Linked DNA regions of Coturnix japonica. The protein of the gene in region 2 interacts with the protein of the main gene of each other region in a pairwise test. Links are inferred from orthologs where the notes say so. Each region holds a gene or a part of one and is shown on either strand. Other genes may lie near its edges.

What was found.
Region 1: the proteins of HTT (region 2) and PKM interact in binary tests that used the Homo sapiens proteins (3 or more experiments, as listed by UniProt). The link is inferred for Coturnix japonica from reciprocal best matches to the Homo sapiens genes HTT and PKM.

What each region holds. Positions count from the first base shown.
Region 1 is NC_029525.1:981,171-986,531, forward strand, and holds the start of PKM (pyruvate kinase PKM), read right to left. Parts: upstream 3,908-5,361; 5' UTR 3,822-3,907; intron 700-3,821; 5' UTR 681-699; coding exon 640-680; intron 428-639; coding exon 258-427; intron 1-257. UniProt on the Homo sapiens protein: Catalyzes the final rate-limiting step of glycolysis by mediating the transfer of a phosphoryl group from phosphoenolpyruvate (PEP) to ADP, generating ATP.
Region 2 is NC_029519.1:74,565,984-74,571,651, forward strand, and holds part of HTT (huntingtin), read right to left. Parts: intron 3,985-5,668; coding exon 3,822-3,984; intron 3,215-3,821; coding exon 3,054-3,214; intron 2,697-3,053; coding exon 2,483-2,696; 3' UTR 1-2,482.

The DNA of each region.
Region 1 (5,361 bases), on a different chromosome or scaffold from region 2:
ACTGCTCAACATGAAAGCAGCTCCTTTGTCTTAACTTGACTCTAGGAGCTCGTTTGAACCCAACCAGTTCAGACATCACTGAATTTAATCCAAGCAATAAAACTGGGCAGGCAGGCATGGGAAAGTCAAGTCTCAACAGACAGGCACAGCCCTCGCAACGGATAAAGGCTGAAGCCATCCCACATTCCCACAACGAGTTTCACCAACACAAGCAAACACAGCTTGAGCTTACAATGTGGGATCTGGGAGCCACGTACCGATGGTGCAGATGATGCCGGTGTTTCTGGCAATGGTTGGCTCGGAGTCGATGTCCAGGCGGCACATGTGCTCCAGAAAGGTGTCTGCCATGGCAGCGTGCAGCTGCTGGGTCTGGATGAAAGCGGTCCCTGCATCGTGGTGCTTTGACATGGTTACTGATGTTCGGTGTCTGCGAGAGAAGAAAATGGTGCCGGGTTTAAGGGTCGCCCCTGCTCGTTCACCATGCAGAGACACCAACACACCCACGTGATGAATATGGAGGTAACAAGAAAGCTGCTACTGGGTCAGACTATCGTTATGTTCCTACTTGAGAGTCTTAGGTACAGGCAAGACACACTTCTATTTAAATGTCATTCCCCATGGATGCCACCCAAAGCTCACCTGCCTTCTATGCAGAAGTTCCCTTCATAGCTTCTCTTCATTGCCAGTCTTCCCCTGCAGCTACACAACGCAACAAAATTCAAGCGCTTCAGTGCACAGGCAGCGTGCTGCCCGCTCCCTGCCCGCTCTCAGCCCATCTCTGCCAGCAGCCCAGGGATCAAGGCAGCTGGTGTGACTGCAGTTGTGCTGCACACGGGGACACACCTCAGCACACCAAGTGCACCTAGGCTTAACCCAGCCTTTAAGCCCGCACAGATAATCAGACTTGAGTTGATTGAACACAACACCGGGGCAGACGATGCAAATAAGACAAAAGAATCCTTGAATGTCCTCCTCCAAATAAACAGCAGCAGTCTCCCACAGCCCCTGCATCTGTACGAAGCCTCCACAGGGCATAAGACTGGATGTTTCTGGGAGTAAGAAATCCCATGTTTGCCTCCATGAGACAAAAGCATCCCCAGAACAGCGGGGAAGGTCCCAACCCCATGAGAAAGCTGAAGTGAAACACTGATGTGTGCTGCAATGGGAGCACACCCGGCTGGGAATTCTGTCCTCAATCAGCAACGCAACTAAAACCTGCCTGTCCTCTCCTGCATTTACAGCCAGGTGAGACAGGACTTTGTGCCTGTGCAAGGCTCAGCTTTTCGCATGCTGCTGCCACCAGCTTCAGTGCATTGCTCCCCAAGGTGTGGGGGGCTGCTCACCCTCGGCACACTGCGCCATGCAGGGACACACTCCCATCTGGCACATGAACAAAGCTCACCATTTTTTTCCCCACGCTGCACCTCCATCTGCACAGGGCATTAATAAACCAGCAGCTCCTCTAAAGCTGAGCAGAAGGGAGCAGTGTGAGCACGGAGGTCCCTGAGCAGCCGCTCCCCCCTCCTACGTGCAGATCCTCTCGCAGGCAGCCCTGACTCACCATCACCTCATCGACGCATGAAATGGAGCGCAAAGATGGGCCAGCAGAAACCATAATTTGTCCTGGCAGGCGGCCTTTACCTCAGCCCTGCCAGAAGCTGCTGATTCACTTCAGTCAGTACAAGAAAGCCTGCCCACATAAAAGCCTCAACAAAGGCGTTTTATTACAGGGATGCCCGCTGCTCAGACCTGAACACTGTGTTTCAGCCTTCTAACATCTGCTGGTGCATCCTGGAGCACCTGCTGGACAGGACAAAGGGCCTCTGCCAGGAAACTGCCTCTGCAAACAGCAGCAGAAAGAGCCTGTGTGACTGCGGGGAATAGTGGCTGTAGGGAATAGGGCTGGGGAGAACAGAGCACTGAGTGCAGCTCATACAGGAGCACAGCCGCCCTGCTTTGGAGGCGGCTTCCTCCTTGTGGAAACTCCCCACCCACTGAAGTCATTTGTAAGTGTGATTTTCAAGCCCCGAAGGCTTTGCAATAGTCTAAGAAGGGAGGAGAGTTAAATTGCTTGGAGTCAGAATCCCCTGAGATTTTGCAGCCACGCAGTGACCTTGTATGGGGAGGACAGAAGAAACACGGCACCAGAATAAAAACCCAGCCACCATCTGCAGGGCTGCAGGGAGCCCCACGTTCCTCTGCTTCCTCCTGCATTCCAATTGCAAGGATGGATGCTCCAAGGGGCTGTTTTATAACCCCAAGAGGAACGTCTGGCATTTCCCACTTTTTGTCTTTTAAGAAACACCTGCAGGCACAGTGAGCTGAGCTGGGAAGGGGGTGGGGAGTAATACCTCGCAAAGCCTGATTCCCTGCACAAAGCAGCTTTCCTTTCTCGGGGCGTAACTCTTAAATCCCTCCAGGTATCACCCCATTCCAGGCAGGGCACGCTCAAAATGGCCGATGCCTCCCCGGCCGCTGAACATTCCAGAAGGGCCGGACCGTTGGAGGGCAGCGGGCCGAGCAGCGGGGTGACTCAGTGACTTACGGAACGTCCGGCTGCGGCATCCCAGCCGTGCCCGGGGCACGACGGAGGCTCAGCCCCACCGCCATCCCCACCCCACGGCCACGCAGCCGGGCTCCCAGCACGCCGCCAACACGGCGGGCCCCCCGGCAGGGAGGGGGGGATGACTCGTACTGCGGGAGGTTTCGCCGCATCCTTATGCAACTGCAAGATGGCCTCCAAGGCAGCCCTCGTGGGGACGGCCGGGACGGGACGCCGAGCCACAAGGCGGAGGATGAGCTTTGGGCATCGCGCTGCTGTGCTGCGGCTGCCCTTCCTAGAGGACAAGGGCACGGGGCAGGCTCAAGCGAAGCCTGTTTAATCAGAAGGGAAGAAGCGCGGGCGACGAACTTATGGCGTGGAGCTTATGCCCCTTATGCCCCGCGCAGCTCACACCCCCCAGTGCCGCCCATGCCGTACGTGCCGACCCGCACCGCGCGGCGCCGCCCCCTCCCCCCGCACACGGCAGCACGTGGTGGCGGCGCTCGGCCGAGCCCGTTCGTTCCTCCGCCTCCCGCAACCGTCCGACGGCGGCTCGGGAGCGGGCCGAGCGCTCACGGCGGCGGTTTCGGGCCGGCGTCGGAGGGCGGTTCCCCAGTTCTAACACCCCCCCGCCATCCCCTCCCGTTCCAGTGCCGTCCCTGGGGCAGGACGATGCCCGAACCCGGCCCCGCGCTCCCACCCGCTCCCCGAGCAGCGCTGCGCCTTAACGGAGCGGCACCGAGCGGGCTCCGCACGCCGCCCCCCGCCAACGAAAGCGCCGTAGCCCCATTCACGGCCCCCGAGCGCCTCAAAGGCCGCAGCGGGGCGGAGGGAGCGGGCAGGCGGCTACAGGGGGACGGATGGGAGCACGGGGCTGGGAGAGCGGGGAGCCTCGGCAAGAGCCGAGCGGGGACACGGCACGTGGCCGCGGCACCGACGGCTGAGTCAGGGCGGGCGGGCGGAGCGCTGGGGGCACACACGCACCTACATACACACACACCTACACACACGCACCTACATACACACACACCTACACACACACACACCTACACACACACACACCTACACACACACACATCCATCCATCCATCCATCCCTCCGCCGCCGCTACCCCAGCCGCGTGGAGCCGCCCTTCCCCTCAGCGCCCCCTCGGCGTCTCATCGCCCTGCCCTGAGCTTAACACTCCCGCTTGAACGCCGGGTCCGGCGACGATGACGGCGGCCTCGGCTACCCGCCCTCCTTCAACGCCCTCCCTGTGGGAGCCGGAGGCCGCCGTTACCTCCTGGTGCTGCCGCGGCTGTGCCCGGACGCGTCCTCTACGAGCCCCTCCGCCGCTCTGCACGCCGCCCCGCCGCAAAGCCAAGGTGATCCCGGCCGAAGCACCGCCCCGCGGATCCCTCCGCCCACTGCGCAACGGGGCGAACGGCCGGGACTCCTTTTTTCGGCGGACGCGCAAGCTGCGGAGGAAGCGCTTTAACTCTCACGCACCGCGCAGCCAATCAGAGGGCGGCAAGCGCAGCCGGAGAGCACGCGGGGGAAGAGTGGCTGCGGCCTTAAAGGGACCGCGCTGCTCTTAAAGGGGCCGCGCTGCTCTTAAAGGGGCCGCGCTGCTCTTAATGGCTCCGCTCCCCTCGGCTCTCCCACCCGAGCCCCTTGCCCACGGTACCTGCAGGGATGCCGGACCGCCGAGGGACGCCGTGAAGTGGCTCCTGCTGGCCTCTGAGCCACCCCGCGATGTCCCCCATGTGTCAATGGGGTTTTCCCCGAATCTAGGGGACAAAACAGGTGTCCCAGTGAGAAAAGGTCATTGCACCCATGTGGCTTCGTCACACATAGCCCCCCAACGCGGTGACACCCACAGAAGATGGGGTGCAGGGGGAAACGTGCCATCCCCCTGCTGCCAGCTCTGAGGTCTGGGGACAGAAATAGACACTTGGGGACAAAAATAGGTATCTCGAGTTACAGAGCTGGCCTGGGCACCCGAACTTGTCAGCAGCCATCGAGTTGGTGTCCCCATGGTTCTGATTGGTGTGGGGTGTCCCCAGGTCATCCCAAAAAAGGGAGAGAAAGGCAGGGACATGAGAACACTGTGCTGGATCTATGGGTACATGGTGCCAGCAATGGGGGGACCCTGTGCTGGGACCATAGGGACACTGCTGGGACCATGGAGGACCCTACCTGGATGTTCTGCATTGGGATCATCAGGACATTGTGCAGGGGACAGTGTGCCAGCACCACAAGTAGGGGCTCTGTTCTGAGGTCCTCTTGGGGTCCTTGTGACAGTAATGTAGCACCCAAAGTGGGCACCCAGTGCCACAGCCATGGGGACACTGTGCTGGTGACACTAAGTGGAGACCATGGGGACCAAGTGTGGGGCCAGAGAGAGTGGGGGCAACCATGAAGAAACAGGGGAACCTGTAGGAACCCAGTGTGAGGCCAGGGGAACTGTGGGCACCCAGCATGAGGCCATGAGCACCAAGGGGGACCATGGAAACTGTGCTAAGGACATTTGGGGACACTAAGCAGAGACCATGGGGCATCCAGTGTGAGGCCAAGGGGACTCAACATGGGGCCATAGGGACCGTGAGGGACCATAGGGTTCCTATGCTGGGGGCACTGAGTGGTGACCACAGGGATCTAATGGGAGGGTACAAGGACCTATGGGGAACCAACGTGGAGCCATAGAGACCATGAGGAACTGAGGGACCACAGGGACCGTGTGCTGGGGTCAATGAGAGAGAAGTGCAGACACCCAATGTGAGGCCATGGGGACCGAATGTGGTCTCATGAGGACTATGTGTGGAGGACACTGAGCGAGG
Region 2 (5,668 bases):
CTATTTGCTTAAAGGCCATTTGAGGAAAAGGGGCTTTGTCACATCAGATGCTTCTCATCCAGCCATGCTGACGGCTTGGTTCAATACATCCTTTCAGTGGTTGGAAAGATTCTATGGCAAGTTCCAAATGAGTTGGTTTGGAAAGTTTCATAAAGGGACTAGCTCCCATTATCTCAAGGTGAAGTAACCAACTAGTCCGTGTTAATCATGAGGAGCTTAAAATTATGAAGAATTGAACAGTTTGTAACACAACACATACTGTTGGTGAGAATATGACTAACCTGATGCTTAAAAAATATATTAAAATCTATTTTAAATTTTGGAAAATAGCTTACAAAAATATCTTCACTTAAACTATATATCATACAAAAACTGACTGGTGTGTGGGTTTACAGTACAAAACGATTACTGGTGGTTACAAAAGGGAACAGTGATCTATAGTACCCTTAACGAATGCGCAGGGCATTAAATCTCACTGCCTTGAATTAGTCTCTTGTGAGAATTAAGATAATTTCCAATGCAACTCAAAACTTTCAAACAGTATCTATTAAATCTTTTTCTGAACTCCTATTCAGCTTCTTTTAAAAATCACCACAGTGCTGTGGCCCAAAAAATAAGAGTAACCCAACTAAGGGCAGAAATAATTGCTCTAGATAATAAGATCTGTAGAGAGCTAAATACAGCAATGTCTACAGTTGTTTCTACTGCCCATATTATCAGTTTTGCCTTTTTAAGAGGAAGTGACACCAGCGGACAATTCCTTTTAAATCAATTTATGGGCAGGAGTAACAATTTTTGGTCTAGATTGGAATTAGTTTAAATACACGGGTTTAATAAATACAAATATACACATCTGTATACATTAAATGTTGTCACGTGTATAATTTCCACATATACATTATATACAGAAATACATACAAGCACATGCTCCTCCTGACAACACTATCTCATTTTTCCAAGTGTCACCAAAAGGTGAGATAAGAAATAGAAGAAAGGTTAAATATAGGACATGACTAAAAACCCAGCTATCGTTTTTTCTATAATTAAAGAATTATAATAAATGCAACTGAAGACAAATGCTGTGCTTTCCCCATGTAACGCTCACAAATCAATCGGGTTTCCTGGGTAAAAGCTAAATCTGGCCCTGTGCAGTGCTATAAGATCCTTGATATTTGTACTGTGTGTCTAAAGCGTTATGTGTATGACAGGTAATAAAAGCAGTTGTGTAATCTAACACCTTAGCCAGTCCCAAAGTAGACCACAGCAGCCTCCTGATTCTCAACTGCTAGTACAAATTTGTTCAATGTGAGAGTGGTTTGAATCCAGTTGACTCCATGGTCTCAGTTAGGAAAGGTCAAATGGTTATTGACTACTGGGGAGTTTGCACTATTGTCTCTTAAATGCTGTGCAACAGGTAAGAGCCATTTCTTGAGTATACAAAAGTCTGATTCAAAACAACTAGTCCTCTCTTTTACCATAACATCTCAAAATAAAGGAATTCAAAAGCTACAAGTGGACCACAAGAATGCCTCCTTAATACAGCCACTCAAGACGCATTAAATCAACATATTCCAGTTTTAAAGCACTTTAAGAAAAAGTGAGATGCAAAACAAGATGTAATCTGTACATTAAGATGGATTTTCAAAAGGAACATAAATCTGAGCACAAGGAAAAATGAGGACAATACAGATGTTGAGACATTCAGTAGCGTGGCTTCTGTTCATCTCAAATTACAGCACAGCTCATGCATCACACATCTTACAATTTTACATACTGTACATGATATAGAAATAGAAATATTTAAGTTAAAATTTCTTTTACTGATATACTGTACTCAAATTTTAAATCCTGAGAGGAAAAAAAAAAAAGTGTGGTTACGTATGTGCACCACATCTCTGATACCACCAACACGTGCACCACAGGATATAAGAAAGTCTAGAGAGGAATTACATGCTGGAAGTGTAACTCATGAAAGCCATCGTTTCTTGTCCTTGTTTGGGAGAGACAATTCAATTCAATAACCTATTTTGTACTACACAACAGTATATACATGTACATAAAACTATGGAGTTTTCTAACGACTGCAGCTTGCAATAATGGAGTGTTTCTGTCAGTTTCTTACCAGCTGCAACACGTGGCTTCAGCAGAACATTAGGAAGAACAATACCAGTTACCTTGCATGTAGCACTTAATCACAGTTTACATTTAGTAAATCTGTCTCAGATTAGTCCCAAACATCACTTGTAGAACATGGACAACTCCACCCACATGGGTCTTGTGTCAAGAACAATAAAAGCTACACTAGAATTTTCAGGTGATTTCCAGTGCTACAGAGCACTTCTCCATGCATTCTGGAAGAAAATAAGTGGCAGGTCCATGTTTATCACAAGTGCAACCACAGATACTTCCTCAATCTCACATTTTTAATAGTTCGTCTCAGATTCCAACACTGGCCATGCAATTTCGTTATGCATCGGGACATTCAACATGCTGTGACCTTGTGGACATTCTGCAAACAAGTTAGGAGGCGATGATATGGGGTTCCTGGAGATGCCACCACCTCAAACACTGACTGAAAAGCCCTCCGATCTAATTCTTCATCAATCTGATGTCGGTAGAAGTCCATGGCCACCAAACAGAAGATATTAACATCCACTTGCTCCAGTTTTCCCATTCTGCTGATAATATGTGGAAGACTGAGATGTAAGTTAAGGTCAGAAACGACAGAATTTAATCACGTTTGGTTTACTACTTTAAACACTGCTCTCCAATGAAGCGGTGTATATTTGAGTTCATTAGCAATGTGAAAAACACTTTCATGTGTTCACTGAACAGCTACTGCATAAATCCTATTTCTTCAGCAGCTTAACACAATTTTTTTATTTCCAGAAACTTACGTTTAACCTAGCAGCAGTCTTTATCTAATGGAGGAAATGGTGCAATTAGTCTGAACTGCCTACAGCAGTTATTACTTTTGACCTCCTAAGCTATAAATATCCTTTACAGAATCACATTTACCCAGAAGTGACACACATTCGGGCTGTTTAGGATACATTGCTGAAATCCATTGACTGGTGGAAGCACTGACAAAAAAACAGGAAAGACTCCACATTGCCATTGCCACAGGTGTTCTCTGTGTGAAATTAGAGAGAGACAGCATCACCCAGTCACGGACCATTGAGGACTGCCCAGTGGTATGTAGCGTCTGGAATACCTGCAAAAATATTTTACATAGGAATAAAGACAAGACATACAGACATGGGAAGAGTTGAGTTTCTCTTTTGAAGGTTTACCTCATCTACAGAGCTCTGAGGTTCAGAGCTGTTGGAGACAACTCTGACAAAGTGATTCTGCAGAGTGGACTCGTGACACCTGTGGCAAATTGAAGTGAGCGCACAAAAAGCAAGACCCGCATTGTGTCTCTGTTTTTAATACATAAAGGGTGGTGCATACATGCACGAGTACAATAAGTAGGTGATGGAATGCGGAATACCAAGAAGCCCAACTATGTCTGCCAGAAACTTGGCTGGTTTCATAAGACCAGATGACCCAGAGTGGCTTCTCAAGACCAGAAGAATCTGAGCAGAATAATCACTGCTATTAATTTTCCCATTAATTTTCCTTTATCAAGGTGATTCTAGATCCGCCACTTCCCCCAGAACACAAAGTTCACAGCAGTACACCTCAAACACTGCTGAATAGCTTATTAGATCTAGTGAAAATTATATTTGCCCCTTGTATTCAAGTACTGAAGACTGAAGAGCTGTCGCTCACTTAGTAGTTCTCTGAAACCTGTAAGGAAAAAGACAGATATATATTACCTTATAAACTACTGTTGCCATAAATTGTGGATAAGGCTGCTGATTGGATAGAAATTCTCCAATAACTTTATTCATTACATCTTGTGGAGGAAAAAAGTCATCAAGGAACTGTGGAAGAATTCGGGCCACGACTCTAGCTTCAAAAGGAAACCCCTTCCTGATCCTAAAAATAATAGAAAAATAACGATTTATGATTTAATTCCAGTGAACATCTTGTTAATTTTCAAATTAATTGCAATAGGAAGAATACTCTGTTTTCATCTTTAGATAGGCAAGTCTTAAACAAGAATTCAAGACTTCACCTCATCTTACACTAACAGTGTAGACTAAGAAATGTAAAAAGCTATAATAAGTTCTTAGAAGTTATTCCCTCACCTGCCCCCCCAACGTTTTTCCCCACTTCCTTTCTCAAGTAGCCAATGTTTTTTAAACTGCTGGTTTAGAGACAAGATTTCACAATACAAATACTGATAAAGTTTAATGAGAATTAAAAAAAAAAAAGCGAGATCACTACTACTAATTATCAGAAAAAAGACCATTCTCTTCAACATCTTTATCAGTGACCTGTAAAGTGGGACTGAGCATACCCTCAGCAAGTCTGTAAACTGAGTGACGCTGGTACAACAGAAGGAAGAGCTGCCATCCAGAGTCAAACTTGCAAAGTGGACCCACAAGAACGTAATGAGGTTCACCACTGTCCAATGCAAGGTTTGTGCAGACCAGGATAAGAACTCATTGAGACCAGCACTGAGGAGGACTATGGGATTCTGATGAACAGATAGATGCGAGTGTGCACTTGCAGCCAACAATGTCATCTATATCCTGGGCTGCATCAAAAGAGGTGTGCAAGGTGAGGGAGGTGATTGTGCTCCTATACTCTGCTCTTGTGAGGCCCTATCTGCAGTACTGCATCCAGGCTTGGGGCCAACAGCATAAAAAGAACATGGTTAGGGAGCAGGTTCAAAGGAGGTGACAAAGACTGAAGCACCTCTCCTATGGAGAAAGGTTGAAGGAGCTGGGCTTGCTGAGACTGGAGAAGAGAAGGCTCTGGGGAGACCTCACTGCAGCTTTCCAGTACTTAAAGTGTGCTTATAAACAGGAGAGAGACTTACTTTATACTGATAGCAACAGGACAAGGGGGAATGATTTTAAACTAAAAGATGGGAGATTTAGATAACAAGAAGAAATTCTTTACTCAGAAGGTGGTGAGGCACTGGAACAGGCTGCTCACAGAAGCTGTGGGTGCCCCATCCCTGGAGGTGTTCAGGGCCAGGTTGGATGGGGCCCTGGACCCTCTAATGTAGTGGTGGGCAGCCCTGCCCACAATAGGGAGTTGGAACTGGTTAGAGATGGGCTTTAAGGTCTGTTCTGCGATAAGCAGAACCTTGATTTTCATTAATAACATCTTAGCATATTTTTAACTCAACACCAGAATGACTAATGTACAACTGAGAAAATCACTGTAAAATGGGGAAATCTTCAATTTAAAGGCTATCTTATTTAACGAACACAGCCTGAAAAATCTTCCTAATAAACACCGCATCTCTCAGTGTGCTAAGATCAAGCTAGTAACTATTGTAGGGAATAATCATAAGACACGTTCTGCTTTTAGTCTTCCTCTGTTTGTTTTACTAACTTTTAGGAGTGATTTTTTCATGCAAAGCTCCAGCTCTGTTCTCACTGAATGCAGAACTGAAACCCTCATTCAGTTTTATGGAAACAACATTGAACACAAACACACACACACACACACACACACACAAGCCAGTCATTATGCCACAAGCTACTATGCAAAATTTAACATGCTATGCTCACTTAACACAGCTTGAGATTGTCAGATCAGAACA